Macaca mulatta: one gene and its partners. The protein of the gene in region 3 purifies or fractionates together with the protein of the main gene of each other region. This does not show direct contact. Links are inferred from orthologs where the notes say so. Each region holds a gene or a part of one and is shown on either strand. Other genes may lie near its edges.

Region 1 (4,540 bases), on a different chromosome or scaffold from region 3:
CGCCTTGGCCTCCCAAAGTGTTGGGATTCGGGCATGAGCCACCATGCCCGGCCTCAACCCGATTTTTAAAACTACTTTGTATCCCATTCATCAAATAAAACTAGTCCTCTAAAGAGCTGTGTCTTGTGTTTATCCTACGATTTAGCCCAAATTTAAGAAAAACTATGATGTAGCCCAAAATTAAGAAAAACCATCCCTTCTGTTAGACCCTGTATCTACATATAAATTATCACATTTAATCCTCACAACCTCCTTTGGAGGTAGGTAATGGTCCATTTTACTGATGAAGGAACTGAGACTCCAAAGTGCTAAGCAGCTTGCCTAAGGTCACACATGGTGGATGGGGCAGGGCCAGCCAGCTCGAAACCCAGGTGTGTCCGATGCGGACCATGGTCTTCCTTAGTTTATCATTATTTGCTCCTCCATGGTTAGCGCTGGCAGGGCCTCAGAGACTGCAGGGTCTCACCTACGCCCTCCTCAGATGCGAAAACAGACCCAAAAACCTGTCCAAAGCTACCCAGGGAGGAAGACGCAAAATCAGGACTCAGGCCAGGCGCAGCGGCTCACGCCTGTAATCCCAGGACTTTGGGAGGCCGAGGTGGGTGGATGGCTTAAGGTTAGGAGTTCGAGATCAGCTTAGCTAACATGGTGAAAGTCTGTCTCTGCAAAAAATAAGAAAGAAAGAGAAAGAAAGAAAGAAGGAAAGAAAGAAAGAAAAGAAAGAAAGAAAGAAAAGAAAGTAAGAAAGAAAAGAGAGGAAGGAAGAAAAAGAGAAATGAAGAAAAGAAAGAGAAGAAAGGAAGGAAGGAAGAAAAAAGAAAGGAAGAAAGGAAGAAAGAAAGAAAGAAAGAGAGAAAGAAAATCAGGACTCAGAACCTAACAGCTGATCAGTGACACCCTCGGGATGCCTAGACAACCCCCCTCCCCCACTAGGCTAGAAGTATCCGCAGGAAACTACACTCACAGGTCTACAGTGGATGGCACCCTCAGGAGTCAGGAAATCAGTGTCCAAGTTCTGGCCTTTGGGCAGGTCTCAAATTTTGTGTATGTAACATGGGCCAATTTTGGGGAGACTTTTAAGAGACAAAGGCAGGCAAGGCAAGTAACGTTATAAACCTACAGATTGCCCAGAGGTGATATATCAAGGCTCATCGTAAACTCTGGAAGACTTAGATCCAGCTTTTATCCCTTAAATGGCGTCACCTCGGATCAATTTCTATACCTCAGTTTCCTCATATATGAAATGGGGGTCATAATGGGATCTACTTCATAGAGTTGTTCTAAGGGTTCGAGCGCTTGGAAGTGTCTGGCCCATGGTGATCGCTCAGTAAAGGTGGCTTTTAGTACAGGTTTAGCCTCAAGGCGTAGCTACATTGTAACCCTTGACTACCCCGGTCTCCTCCAAGCTCCGTCGCTCCCGCAGGCCCCGCCCCCGTCCCCGCTCAGTCCCGCCTTCTCCTCCCCAGGTCCCGCCCGCGCAGCACGCCCGGGTTCCTCCCGCCACCAGGGGGCGGCGGCGCTGAGGGCGGCCTTCTGGCCGAAGCCGGCGACGCTCTAGGTAGCTGCGGCGGCTCCTCTGTGGCCAGTGGCTGCGGCGCTCTAGCCGGCGGCCGTAAGGGGCGGGCTCTCGGTGGTGCGGCCGGCAGGCAGCTATGGCGGCCGTACGGGGCCTGCGGGTGTCGGTGAAGGCGGAGGCCCCGGCGGGGCCAGACCTGGGGCTCCCGTCCCCTGAGGCGGAGTCGGGTGTTGACCGTGGCGAGCCGGAGCCCATGGAGGTGGAGGAGGGCGAGCTGGAAATCGTGCCCGTGCGGCGCTCGCTCAAGGAACTGATCCCGGTACGGGCGGGGGTCGGGGGGCAAGGAGGAGGTCGCGGGGCTAGTGCCCAGCGCCGGAGGGGGCCGGAAGGGGCGGTGGCTGGAGCCCCAGCCGGGGAAGTCTGGGGAGCGGGAGAGAAGGGAGCCAGCGTCCTGGGGACGAGGGCTCCGGGCTGGAGGAGGGACGCGGAGCGGGAGAAAGGACGCCGGTGCGCCGGAAATGGGTGTTGAGGGGGCTGGAGGGGGTGGCGGAGAGCTGGGAGAGAGTTGAGGACCCCCCTCCGCTGCCCCCTCTGAGCCGTGCTGTGCAAAGGGGTGAGTGAGGAGTGTCTGGAGGGCTGAGATAAAGGGGGAGCCCTGGGCGGGAACAGAACCGGGAGCAGCCCAGAAGGAGCTGTTGGGTGGCGCCAGCAACCAGGTCTCTCCTGTGGGTCTTGCCCCGGAGGAATTTGTATCTGTGAAACATGGCACTCGCTCTTTCTCTTGGGAGGGCTGCACTTGTCAGCAGCAGAAACTCACTGTTTCTGTCGTGACTTCAGGGTCATCTTGCGCCACCCGCCCCCCCCCCCCCCCGCCGCAGCTCCACTGGCACCTACACCGTGGCCCCAGCATCTCACTCTTAATGAAAGTAAACTAGCAAACGATCAATAGACGCCCTTGATCCCTCATTTACCGCGCTGGGGATGGTGAGGTGTTTTGCTTGTGACTTGGTGGCTGTAGATCCAGTTCTTAGAGCTGATTTGAGGCCTGGATGACTCCTCTTAATTTCTAACTTAATATGAACTACTTTTCACCACATGTCAACATATTTAGACTGAAGTTATGGAGAAAGGTTAAGGTATGATCGCTAGAGATGGCAAACGTTATTGATTATGATTAACAACAGCTAATATATTAGCATTTACCATTCACTACATTGTGTCACTTAAATATACTGGCCATGCACACCTTTAGTGCCAGCTGTTCAGGAGTCTAAGTTCCAGACCAGCCTCAGTAATATAGCAACACCCCTTCGAGGTCCCTCCTTTCGCCTCTCCCCATCTCAAAAACAAAACAAAACCAAAATAAGTATCACTGCAGTTGTGAAGTAGGTGTTATCATCCTTTCAGTCATTCAGTTCAACATGGTTTTTGTTTTGTTTTGAGACGGAGTTTCGCTCTTGTTACCCAGGCTGGAGCGCAATGGCGCAATCTCAGCTCACCGCAACCTCTGCCTCCCGGGTTCAAGCGATTCTCCTGCCTCAGCCTCCTGAGTAGCTGAGCCCAATGGTGCGATCTCGGTTTACCACAACCTCCACCTCCTGGGTTCAAGTGATTCTCCTGCCTCAGCCTCCCAAGTAGCTGAAATTACGGGGGTGTGCCACCATGTCCGGCTAATCTTGTATTTTTAGTAGAGACAGGATTTCTCCATGTTGGCCGGGCTGGTCTCGAACTCCTGACCTCAGGTGATCCTCCCGCCTCTGCCTCCCAGAGTGCTGGGATTACAGGCATGAGCCACCGTGCCTGGCCAACATGTATTTATTGCATCCCCCACTATGTACCAAGACACAGCCCTAGGTGCTTGATCAAGATCAACCTCCCTGCTGGAGTGTATGCTCCATATAAACTCTCAATGACAAAAAGGAGCCACCCTTGTGAAGACTGAAAAGGGGTTCCCCCAGCCGGGGCAATAGCAAGCACAGAGGGTCTGGGGTGGGTCCAGGATCGTTGCAAAGTTCTGTAGCGCTAATGGAAGGGCAGTAAAAGAGGTCAGGAAGGCAGGTAGATACCACGCAGGAAACTGGGACCCAGAGAGGTCAAGGAAACTATACAGTGTCCTGTAATTAGTGACCGTCAGAGCTGAGGCTTCCGTCCTCGCTTGGTTTCCAAATCCCATCCCCTTTGCATTGCACTGTGCTGTATTTGCCTCAGGAATTCTAGGTGAGGCTGGACTTCTGCATTGAGGTGGAGGGTTGGGCTCCACCTGGTGGCTGGGCATGGGGAATTCGTTCAGACTAGGTTGGGGAGCTAAGTGACTGTGCTTCATCTTTTGACATTTTCCACAAAAGCCTTTAGATTTTTCTGTACGTGGATACTTTCAGTTGATGGAATCACTTCAGGTTTTGGACAGGCTCTGCTCTTCTTATTGGAGTGGTTGATTGATACCATGGAATCACTGGGATGGGGCTTCTTAATAAAAGGTTGTCAGGGGTGGGGAAGGGTTTTGAAAAGAATGACTCTTCAAAAAGAACCAGACTGGCCAGGTGCGGTGGCTCATGCCTGTAATCCCAGCACTTTGGCAGGCTGAGACAGACAGATCACCTGAGGTCAGGAGTTTGAGACCAGCCGGCCAACATGGTGAAACCTCGTCTCTACTAAAAATACAAAAATTAGCTGGCCATGGTGGCGCACACCTGTAATCCCAGCTACTCAGGAGGCTGAGGCAGGAGCATCACTTGAACCCGGGAGGTAGCAGTTGCAGTGAGCCGAGTTTGCACCACTGCCCTCCAGCCTAGGTGATAGAGCAAGACTCCATCTCAAAACACAAACAGATAAACAAAAAGAACCAGACTCTGGGTGGTGGCTCATGCATGTAATCCTAACACTTTGGGAGATTGAGGCAGGAGGACTGCTTTAGCCCAGGAGTTGGAGACCAGCCTGGGCAACATAGGGAGACCCTGTCTCTACAAAAATTAAAAAAAAAATGAGCTGGGTGTGGTGGCATATTCCTGAGGGCCCAGCTACTGG
Region 2 (2,570 bases), on a different chromosome or scaffold from region 3:
TCTAGGAGTGTGAGACTTCTGCCACCTGTTGGGTTGGTTCTAGGCCCCACCTGCCCTCAGGGAGCCTCGACAGGGCCGGTGGGAGATGGGCTTGTGTCCTGGGAGGCAGCTGCAGCTCTCACCCCAGCGGCTGTCTCTGCCTCAGGCTCCCCTCCCTGAAGCGTGTCTCGAGGCGCACGGGCACGGCTGCTCCGCGCCAGCGCGTAAGTGGATTGCAGCTCCTCCCGCGCCTGCGCTCGCTGGCCACCCCCCAGCCCCTCAGGCACCAGGACTGGCCACTCCCGCGGCTCACTCTGCCCTCGTCACGGTGCCACTGGCTCCCTGGCACAGGTTGGGAGGGGTCTGGGTCTGGTCTGGGGTGGGGGTCCTGCATGGCAGACGCTCATGCCCACGCATGTCTTGCCCTCCCCACCCAGACATGCGGCGGGATGTGCAGGAGATCTTCCGCCTGACACCACACGAGAAGCAGTGCATGATGTTCAGCGCCACCCTGAGCAAGGACATCCGGCCTGTGTGCAGGAAGTTCATGCAGGATGTGAGTAAGGCGAGAGTGGCAGCTTCGGCCTTCCCCAGGGGCCTGGAGCCTGGGGCCCCAGGACACCCGCACAGCCCACATGCCTCGGAGGATGCTGGGATGCTGGGAGCCGGCGGAGCCTCCTTTCCTCCCCTCGGTCTTGTCAAACTGGGAGTCAAGCTTGGTCCACACCTGAGCCGGGCCAGAGCTTACATCCAGGTTTTGAGCGATGTTTACTGAGGTCTGGTGCAGGAGGCCCTCTGGGAAGCGTCGCACAAAGGAGTCGCCCACTGGAAGGTTCTGGGCAGGCGAGATGCCCAGAGGTGATCCCTGCCCGCCCCTCCCACCTCCCTTCCCACACAGCCCATGGAGGTGTTTGTGGACGACGAGACCAAGCTCACGCTGCACGGCCTGCAGCAGTACTACGTCAAACTCAAAGACAGTGAGAAGAACCGCAAGCTCTTTGATCTCCTGGACGTGCTGGAGTTTAACCAGGTGACACTTCCATCAGCCCGTCCTGGGGCTCTGGACCATCGGGAGGTCGCTGGGCCGCCGGACTGTGTGTCCCTGACCGCCACTCCTTCCTTCAGGTGATAATCTTCGTCAAGTCAGTGCAGCGCTGCATGGCCCTGGCCCAGCTCCTCGTGGAGCAGAACTTCCCGGCCATCGCCATCCACCGGGGCATGGCCCAGGAGGAGCGGTGAGTGCGAGCCACCCGCCAAGGCTGCAGGGAGCGCCACCCAGGAGCCCAGTGTCTGACGGCCTCCACTTGTTTCTCCTGCACCCCAGCCTGTCACGCTATCAGCAGTTCAAGGATTTCCAGCGGCGGATCCTGGTGGCCACCAATCTGTTTGGCCGGGGGATGGACATCGAGCGAGTCAACATCGTCTTTAACTATGACATGCCTGAGGACTCGGACACTTACTTGCACCGGGTGAGCGGCCTCACGGGCATGTCGCTTTCCCCTGGCGGTGGGGTGGGGCCCCAACCCTGCTTTTCCTCAAGTCCTGAGGTGTTATCTGTGGCCTGACCCTGATCCTGTCTGCCTGCAGGTGGCCCGGGCGGGTCGCTTTGGCACCAAAGGCCTAGCCATCACTTTTGTGTCTGACGAGAATGATGCCAAAATCCTCAATGACGTCCAGGACCGGTTTGAAGTTAATGTGGCAGAACTTCCAGAGGAAATTGACATATCCACATACAGTAAGTGCCTTGGGCAGGGCAGGGGGCTGAGGCAGAGGGTTCCTACCCCGGCCCTTTGGTTCACCGCTTCCTGTGTCTTACAGTTGAGCAGAGCCGGTAACCACCACGTGCCCCACCAGTCCAGAGCCGCCCACCCGGAGCTGCCCACCTGGAGCCGCCCGCATGCAGCTTCACCTCCCCTTTCCAGGTGCCACTGTTGAGAAGCTAGAAATTGTGTGAGAATAAACTTGTTATTACGGAAACCTGGCTCCCACACCATCTGTTTCTTAGTCATCTCGGCCTTTGACGGACACCCTGGGCCTGGCGTCTGAATCACCACCAGCAGGCAAGGCCATCTTCTGTATGCATGTGTTTAATTTTAAGTGTCAACATTGAAAAGTTTGAACAGATAAAAACACATTACACAACATCCACAACCTTTACAACAGTGAGAACCTCCTGCCTGGGCAGGCAGGGCAGGCCTCTGTACCGTGAGCCTCAGGCAGTGGCCCCAAGGGGCTCTGCCAGGGGGCCTCTGACATCAGTCTTCGCTTAAGAAGGAAGCTGAGCCGCAGCACCTAGTCTTTTCAGTTCTGCAGCAGACGTGAGAGGAAAAGTCCAGGCCGGGACGAGCCCTCAGTCTGTCCTGAGTACTAGCCCCAGGTGCCAAGGCAACATGCTGCAGCCCTGGGCCAGCCCCAGTACTTGCCCTGGGTCACAAGGTGGAGGAGAGAGGCAGCCAGCAGTAGGACCAGTGGCTCCGGCTCCACCCCACTGGGTGTCCTGGGCTTTGATGCCAGACTATAGCTGCCACTCCCTCCTGGAGGCACACACGGGGCTTAGGGAGGGAGGGTGGAGGGAGCAGAGCGGTGGACGA
Region 3 (4,044 bases):
CAAACCCTGATGACAGCACATCTGTTTATAGCATGGTTTACTGAACATTTTAAGGCCACTGTTGAGACTTACTGCTCAGAAAAAAAAAGATCTCCTTTCACAATGTTATTGCTTATTCACAATGCACCTGGTCACCCAAGAGCTTTGATGGAGATGCACAAGGAAATTAATGTTGTTTTCATGCCTGCTAATACATCATCCATTTTGTAGCCAATGAATCAAAGGGTTATTTCAACTTTCAAGTCCTGTTATCTAAGAAATACATTTCATGAGGCTATAGCTACCATAGTGATTTTTTTTTCTTTCTTTCCTGAGACGGAGTCTCGCTCTGTCGCCCAGGCTGGAGTGCAGTGGCCGGATCTCAGCTCACTGCAAGCTCCGCCTCCCGGGTTTACGCCATTCTCCTGCCTCAGCCTCCCAAGTAGCTGGGACTACAGGCGCCCGCCACCTCGCCTGGCTAGTTTTTTGTATTTTTTAGTAGAGACGGGGTTTCACCGGGTTAGCCAGGATGGTCTCGATCTCCTGACCTCATGATCTACATTTGAGAAGATGTGCTCATTGCTACTGGAGTATCACTACTTCTGCGGCCCTCTCAGAGACCAGAGCTAGGAAAGACATATGTGTATACTAACCATACTCAGGCACTACTGTAAGCTCTTCACGTGTTTTAATTCATTTAATCCTCACAACATATAAAATAGGTGGTATATTAGCCCAGCATTAAGAAAAAGAGAACTGAAGCAATGAGATATTAAAATCTCGCATATCTGAACCGACTGGGGAGGGGGAAGGCTCTGGAGAATAAGCAATGTCCCATTTCAGGAGCTACAGAGTGGTTATACAGTATTTGTTTCATTATTATTTGCTTTATGTACTTTTCTATATAAGCATTATATTTCACAATAAAAATCTGTTAAAAAAGAGAAATGAAAGGAAGTCTATATAGCTAAGTAGTCGTGACTGAGAGAGAAAATGGAAACACAAAAATAGGCATACATTACGAAATATAGATGTGACGGTTTATATCTACATGTTTCAGTATGATTCAACTGTACGTTAATAAGCTTTGAACTTAAAAGAATCCATGACTTTGTTTCAAGATTACCTGTATTATATACTAGGACTGCTATAACTATTTATAAGTAAAAGAAAATAAAGTGACAATTTCTATGATGTCTTTCAACTTTTTAGAACCATTTTTCTCATTATCATGACAGATTTTAATCTATTAAAAACTGGAAAAGATTTTCCTGCAGAAAACTCATTTAACGCATAAAAGCTTACCTGATTTCTCAGACAGTGGGAAAAGCCTGGCCAAAAAGAGCTGAATCCGTCCACAGAAGACTGTATTCTGGGATTTAGACAATCTTCTTAGGAGATCTAATGATATATGAAAATGAACGTTACACAGAAAAGATAATTCTATGTTTATTACAACCATACCTAAAAGTTTCTAAACCAGTTTGTCGAGAGTATTTTCCTAAAGCAGTAGTTCTTAAAATGGGGGCAGAAACCACTGCCACAAAAAAGTACTAGAAATTAGGAACAAAACAAGTTCAACATGACATGAAAAAGACAAACTTTACTACATGTTTCTGACTTTCATTAAGTTTATGCCCAGAACAAAAACAGCTTAAAGTGAATGAGTTCTAATAAATCCGATTGTTAGTTAAAAATACAAATACCTAATCTATTTTTAAAATGTTATCACTGGTATTTAATTCAACCACATGTTTTTCTGGGCATATTTACATTTTAAAAAGCTATCATTTAATCACTCAATTACTTACCATTGCACATACGTAGTAAGTAATTTTTCCCAGCAGAATAGAATGTATTCTGAAATTAAGATGGAAATTATCACTCTTCTTCTGAACTTGTTACACATTCTTCAATAAGTTGCAGGAAGTAAAATATTAAAGAACACTAACATGCACTGAGAATCTACTATGCCACTTACACTTTTTTAAAGTAAATAACATTTTCAATGAAATGAAAATATTTTCAGATATAAGATAAGAAAACATGATACTGTTTTTAACATGTGAAAGTGTGAATTTTCAAGTTAGTTTTTATTACTCAAATTAAATCAAATTTTGTATTTCAAGTTTTTCTCCACACATGGTTTTTACTTGGCTCTCCCAAGAGAGCAGTATATAATTTTTTCATAGGCACAAACTTGTTGGCGATCAGCAATACTACAAATAATTTCTTTTTTTAAATCTACCCTCAGAACTCTGAATCTACAGAAATACAAAGTTAGCAGGAAAAGAAACTAAGGCACTTACTGATTTCCAAGTAGCAACATTTTTTTCCACAAAAGTGAATATTGTGTCACACTGATCCAAAGGAAGACAATCCAAAACATCTCCCAACAATACAAAAGGTGTAGATGCGGTACAAATACCTTCAAGTGGAGCACAAGCCAGTTTAAAAGTTTAAAAAAACATTAGAGTAAAACAGCCTATGAAAAATAATACTGAAGAATATCTTAAAAGGTACACTTTGTTACTCATAACAAAGTTTTAAAAGGACAAGAAGTGGAAGCAGCCTACAAGTCCCCAAACAGGACATATTTAAGTAATTTTTGATATGTGCACTCAGTAATGATGACAATAATTCTTGACAAGATCTAGAGCATTTACTATATGTCAGGCACACTAAGTACTTTACATATACTAACACATTTAATCCTTATAACCCTATGAAGTAGAGCATATCATTATTTGCATTTTATAGAATGGGAAAATTGAGACACAGAGAGGTTAAATAACTTGCCCAAGATCACAGAGCCAGTAAGTGGCAGAGCTGGGATACGAACCCAGGCAGTCTGGCTCCACAGTCTGTTTTCTTCACCACTAAGCTATTCAAAAGAATATAATGCAGCCAATTAAAAACGATGGTTATAACGACTATAATAACTTGGAAAAATGCTTAGGATATAATGCTAAGTGAAAAAGGCAGGATTCAAAATTGTATGTACATATGATTATGACAATAAAAAAATTCTTAAAAGACTATAGAAACTAAAACCATTATACCAGATGAATGGTTTTTAAAAGTAGAGGAATTATGAGTACTGTTTTCCCTTTTTCTCATTTCCAAATGTTTTGTAGTGTTGCTAAATTGTCTTTGTGATTTGAAAAGATTATCTTCAAAAAATAACAAGGTTTGATATTAACTATGATTTAACATTTAAAATAACAGTATTGTTTCAGGGGAAAGAATGGAAAAGTAGAAAGTTACTGTTTAAAGAACAACAAAATTAAGATATTCTTAAGAAAAGGTCTATTTAGTCTATTCAGACTACCTAGAAATACTTTTATATCCCTACTCATCCTTCCTTCTATTTTAAGGCAATGGGTACTTACTAACACTCATAAGTGTTTAAGAAAAGTAGTTACTTAGGCATGGTATATGGGGAAAAATATCTAGGGTGATCTAAGTCCAAAACAGTGCATTAATACACTATATCTAGAAAAAGGAAGAAATCTTTCCAGCTGTACTCTGCACTAGTAAGATCATATCTGGAATGTGATGTGAGGGATATTGCCGAAAAGCAGTGGTGGAATAAAACAGCAGATTTCAACTCAATACAAGGGAACACACCAATAACCACACTTGTCTAACAGGACTCAAACAGTGACCTCCACTAATGAGCATGATTCAGCAGAGGCTGAATGACCACCCATCAGGGATGTTACAGCAGGGAAGCGGTCTAGGCCAGAGATGAGACGGGACTAGGTGACCTCGAAAGTCCCGAACAATACTTAGATTCAATATTATATACCCTGCACATCCAAGAGATTTGAGAAGCATACTCTCTGCCCTTAGCTGCAGTACAGCCTGGAATAAGTTAACTCACATTAAATAATTAGAGAACTTTTTCTAGATTCTACTACCAAAATTCTGAGTCAGTAGAACTAAGCAAGGTTTGGGAATCTCATCTAAAAATAGATTCACTGGTGGTTCTGATGAGCCAGCAAGTCTGGGAACCACTGGGTTACAGTGTGATTCCCCCAAGAGCTTTCACAACCTGTGTCC
Region 4 (4,622 bases), on a different chromosome or scaffold from region 3:
TTAGCTGGGTATGGTGGCCCATGTTTGTGGTGCTAGCTACTCTTGAGACTGAGGCAGGAGAGTCTCTTGAACCTTAAGGTCGAAGTTAAGTTGAGCTGTGATCAAACCACTGCCCTCCAGCTTGGGCAACAAACCAAGACTCTGTGTCAAAAAAACAGAAAAAAAATCCTTTGTGTCACCTGATCCAAAGAAGGGAGTCTGTGAGAGGGAAAGAGGGAGCAAGGCTGCAGGTCAGGAGTCACCAGGGACAGGTTATCTTAAGCTCTCAGTCCAGCGCCATTGTCCATATATCTCCCACCTACCCCTAGCCTCAGGAAAATGGCTCCTCACTGTACCCAAAGTAGACATGGGGTCTTTCTGCAAGAGGAATACACCCATACCATTTTCCTCCCTTCAAACGACCATAATGACCCATGGTATGGTTAGTATTTGGGTTGTAGGTTTATCACATGGCGAGGTACTCCTTTCTTTGTGATGGCTCTAACCTTGATAACTACCTGTTTTCCTGGGCTGCTTCCGGGACCCATCTTTCTGAGCCTTTCTTTTTCATTGTCGAAGTCCAAGATCAGTGTGACGGTACAAGGTTATGATATTTTAATTGATGTCTAGGAAAACAGAATGCATTCTGATCTATTAAAATTCCTGATTTAGGAATACCGTCTACGATTTAAGAGAAACATTTAATGAATGTTAATAATGACGATGAGTGGTTTTCTAAGAACCCATAAAGTTAAAAGGCTTTAAAAGGGTGGTAAGATTCTCACTGTGCAACTCAATAACGATTTGTGAGGCTCAACGAAATTCTTACCCAAATTATTTGCAATTATTAAACAGAAATAATGAAAAATGACCTTGAATTACAGGGCGAGAGATGAGACTGTTAAGACTGTCTTTGTAACTAAGCACTGTAAAGACTGAGACAGCTGCAAGGTGAAGTTTTCCTCGAGTTCTTCTGGTGAATTGTGGGAAAGGGATTGAACGTCTGAGGTCTCTTCCAGCTCTGAAACCGCAGTGTTTCGTACAGTGTTCATTTTTTTTATGGGAGGGGTCTCGGGGTCTTGCTCTTTCGCCCGGGCTGGAGGTTGGAGTATAGTGGCGTGACACGATTACGGCTCACGGCAGCCTTGAACTCCTGGGCTCAAGCGATGCTCCCACCTCAGCCTCTAGAGTAGCTGGGACTCAGTGTCTGTTCTTAACTCCCCTCGTAGAACCCACTTTCCTCCAGGGCAAAGTTACTCACTTAAGGACCTTACGGCTTAGCCCGAGGATTTCCTGGGTCACCACGCAGGCGGCTTCAGGTCCCAACCGTGACTCCTCCCCCACCCACAATGCACCTCGCGGTTCCCTCTAGGTGGCAGCTGTGTCACGTGTCACCCGACGGAGCGCGCTTCTGTTTGGCGCACGCGCAGAGTGCAGCCCCCAGCTATTTTTTTCTCCGTGGCGGCGGCGACGAGCGGAAGTTCTTGGGAGCGCCAGTTCCGTCAGTGTGTTCGAGTGGACAAAATGGCGAAGATCGCCAAGACTCACGAAGGTAAGCGGTCTTTCCCTGCTTACGTGTTTTCTTGGTTGCTAGCTTACTAAGAGCCTTTCTTCCTAGGATTCTGCCTTTTCCTATGGTTTCTTTCATGGGAGCCGAGCCCGCGTTTCGGGGCCAAGGGTCGTCTCCTCCGCGCCAGCGGCGCAGGCCACTGCCCCGCGTAATGGCGTCCTCCTCTTACACCCCCGACAGGCGCTTTGTTCGGTGTTTGGGACCTGCTACTTCAGAGTAGCTTCTCTTCTCTGACCAGAGGGCCTTGTTTAAGCGGCTTCCTCAGTAGGATTCGTGGGCAAGGGATCTGGGAAGCGGGCGTGGGGAGAAAGTCTCACTCGCCTGTCGACAGTGTCGTCCGCATAGTTTATGCAGAAGAGGGTCAGAAAAGCACTGAAATACGGCATCCGCTTTTCCGGCAGGACTGAATCGAATTTAGTTAAACCGAGATTCCATTACTCCTGCCCCCGTGTGTGTTCAAGCGTCAGTGTTACTTGCTTATTTTTCTTGCACGAAACGATTTGGGGATAAAATCTGGTAGTAGTTTTCCCTCCCTTAGTCACTTTTAGTATAATATTGATCTTTTTCTTTGGAGACTGGTTATTGGAAGAGCCAGATGGAAAAGGAAAAGATAAATTACTTTCATTAACGGCCGAAGCTTTCAAACTAGTTGATCGTTTTATGGAATGCAGAGTGTGCAAATTAGGAAAACGTTGGGAATAGACTGGAGTTCATTAGGAAATATCCAGAGATGACAGGAAACGGGATCACTTTTCAGAAAAGACGAGGCATGGGAAGTTGGAACTGCATTCTTTGATTTCTGACTTGGAATCCGAGATTTTCACTGAGAACGAGACTTCTAATTCACTTTTGTTTCATATGTTCTTTCTGGGTATTTGGCTCAGCATTAGTCTGTGAAAGGTAACAGACTGAGGCCATCCAAAATTTTACAGTCAGGTAGGGGAAACAGATGTGTATGTCCTCATTCTCTCATGAGGCCAAATGCATGCTTAAGTAGAAGAACAAACAACATGTTCTGGGAACCTGGATAACGGAATTATTATGCTTAGGGTTATTTCACTGAAGAGGTTACATGTCCCTGTTTTAAAAGGATCAGTTTTAAATCGGGAAGGACATCTGAGCATGAGAACATCTTGTAACAAGGTATTGAATCGTGAAAGGTGTGTTTGAGTAGTAGTCCACTGTGGCAGGAACAGTGGGTGCAAGGAGAGAAGAAATAAATGAATCTGTAAAGGTTGGTTTAGGACCAGAATATGAATGGCTTTGAATTTTTGGGTCACCCGGAGGACCTGAAGTCCAGCTTTCTGCTGTTTATCAGACATGCTAATGAATTGGCAATGGCTTTAATACCAGTATTATTTTAGGTATTTAGGATTTAAATGCTCTCTTAGTGTTCTTAGGCCTTATTATTTTTCTTTAGACTATCTCAAATATAACCTTTTGCAAAATAAGTAGAAAATATAAAGATGTGCTGTTTTTGTTCATTCAGGAGGTTATTCATTTGGGGATATTGATAGTATAGCTTTGATATTTATTGGTAGCATAAGATGCTCTCAAACAGGAAAATCAAAGTTTTGATCAGTTTTCCTGAATTTTTTAGAAACCCAGCTAAAAGCTTTGGTCTATTGCTATTCATTGTCCAAACTTGTTATTTTTGAGATTATTCTATCAATGTGAATTAAGTGATGCCATAAGAAAATAGCAGAACATTCAATACTTGAACACTGTCTGTGCCCATCCCTATGGGTTATAAGTCAGGGGATAATAAATGTTTAGTAGAAATACACATAATACTGACATAGCTTCTTGCTTCCTTCCTAATGACATTTTCTTGGTGGAACTCTAATTATTCATGGTCCATCACTGTTTTCTCTTGTTAAGCCATTTTTGATAAACTGAAGCAGAATTAATGCTTTTAGGGGCAGTGCTGCCATAGCACTCAGTATAAATGTTATATTACTTAGAGTAGTCTATTGTGTTAAGATTTTCTCTTCTACTTAGCTCCAAGATTGAGATAAACTGGTAACTATTTATTTATTTTGCTGTCATATTCTTTCCAAACATTTATTTTATTTATTTATTTTTTTTGAGATAGAGTCTTGCTCTGTTGCCCAGGCTGAAGTGCAGTGGTGCAATCTCAGCTCACAGCAACCTCCACCTTTTAGGTTCAAGCTATTCTCCTGCTTCAGCCTCCAGAGTACTGGGATCACAGGCATGCGCCACCACACCTGACTGATTTTTGTAGTTTTAGAGACAGGGTTTCGCCATGTTGGCCAGGCTGGTCTCAAACTCTTGACCACAAGTGATCCTCCCACCTCGGCCTCCCAAAGTGCTGGGATTGCTGGCATGAGCCACAATGCCTGAACCCTTTCAAACATTTCTATTAGGATCAGGCCTCACATCCTCTTTAACCAATCTGATTATATTTTACCCTGGCCAATGTGGCTTATGCTTTCCAGGATTGAAATATAAAAAGAGCTGGACTTACTCAAATCAGATAAAATCTTTTAGATCTTTCCGCATATTAAATTGTGTCAGGTGTATGGTTATGAATATGCATAATCTTGCCATCCAGCAGTTCTTCAGATACTGCTGACTTTGGCAAACAAATAGGGAACACATATTCTTCTCTGTTTTGTAAGGGGAAAAATGGGTTAATCAAAAATCCTGTGTATCAGCTTGTTTTGCCACTAATCCTTTGAATTAGATTTTTTGGTACATCACCAAGCTGAAAAAGTTTTTTCCCTAATTCTTTGCTTGATGAGTGGCTGGAATAGTTATAGTTTTGTTATTGTGTATCTTGCTAATGTATTTTTTTTTCCTGGGTTTATTTTTATTTTTATTTTATTTTATTTTTTTTTTTTTTGAGACAGAGTCTCGCTCTGTCACCCAGGCTGGAGTGCAGTGACCGGATCTCAGCTCACTGCAAGCTCTGCCTCCCAGGTTTACGCCATTTTCCTGCCTCAGCCTCCCGAGTAGCTGGGACTACAGGCGCCCGCCACCTCGCCCGGCTAGTTTTTTTGTACTTTTTAGTAGAGACGGGGTTTCACCGTGTTTGCCAGGATGGTCTCGA

The links.
Region 1: the proteins of THOC1 (region 3) and NCBP3 purify together in Homo sapiens (co-immunoprecipitation; 4 studies listed by BioGRID and IntAct, with this or other methods). This does not show direct contact. The link is inferred for Macaca mulatta from reciprocal best matches to the Homo sapiens genes THOC1 and NCBP3.
Region 2: the proteins of THOC1 (region 3) and DDX39A purify together in Homo sapiens (affinity purification with mass spectrometry; 3 studies listed by BioGRID and IntAct, with this or other methods). This does not show direct contact. The link is inferred for Macaca mulatta from reciprocal best matches to the Homo sapiens genes THOC1 and DDX39A.
Region 4: the proteins of THOC1 (region 3) and SF3B1 purify together in Homo sapiens (co-immunoprecipitation; 4 studies listed by BioGRID and IntAct, with this or other methods). This does not show direct contact. The link is inferred for Macaca mulatta from reciprocal best matches to the Homo sapiens genes THOC1 and SF3B1.

What each region holds. Positions count from the first base shown.
Region 1 is NC_133421.1:5,327,031-5,331,570, reverse strand, and holds the start of NCBP3 (nuclear cap-binding protein subunit 3), read left to right. Parts: upstream 1-1,644; 5' UTR 1,645-1,652; coding exon 1,653-1,835; intron 1,836-2,317; exon of another isoform or gene 2,318-3,203; intron 3,204-4,119; exon of another isoform or gene 4,120-4,540. UniProt on the Homo sapiens protein: Associates with NCBP1/CBP80 to form an alternative cap-binding complex (CBC) which plays a key role in mRNA export. NCBP3 serves as adapter protein linking the capped RNAs (m7GpppG-capped RNA) to NCBP1/CBP80.
Region 2 is NC_133424.1:15,010,927-15,013,496, reverse strand, and holds the end of DDX39A (ATP-dependent RNA helicase DDX39A), read left to right. Parts: intron 1-416; coding exon 417-535; intron 536-877; coding exon 878-1,009; intron 1,010-1,104; coding exon 1,105-1,214; intron 1,215-1,303; coding exon 1,304-1,448; intron 1,449-1,566; coding exon 1,567-1,714; intron 1,715-1,797; coding exon 1,798-1,814; 3' UTR 1,815-1,826; downstream 1,827-2,570. UniProt on the Homo sapiens protein: Helicase that plays an essential role in mRNA export and is involved in multiple steps in RNA metabolism including alternative splicing. Regulates nuclear mRNA export to the cytoplasm through association with ECD.
Region 3 is NC_133423.1:71,588,754-71,592,797, forward strand, and holds part of THOC1 (THO complex subunit 1), read right to left. Parts: intron 2,408-4,044; coding exon 2,289-2,407; intron 1,840-2,288; coding exon 1,791-1,839; intron 1,381-1,790; coding exon 1,285-1,380; intron 1-1,284. UniProt on the Homo sapiens protein: Component of the THO subcomplex of the TREX complex which is thought to couple mRNA transcription, processing and nuclear export, and which specifically associates with spliced mRNA and not with unspliced pre-mRNA.
Region 4 is NC_133417.1:102,376,095-102,380,716, reverse strand, and holds the start of SF3B1 (splicing factor 3B subunit 1), read left to right. Parts: upstream 1-1,454; 5' UTR 1,455-1,503; coding exon 1,504-1,531; intron 1,532-4,622. UniProt on the Homo sapiens protein: Component of the 17S U2 SnRNP complex of the spliceosome, a large ribonucleoprotein complex that removes introns from transcribed pre-mRNAs.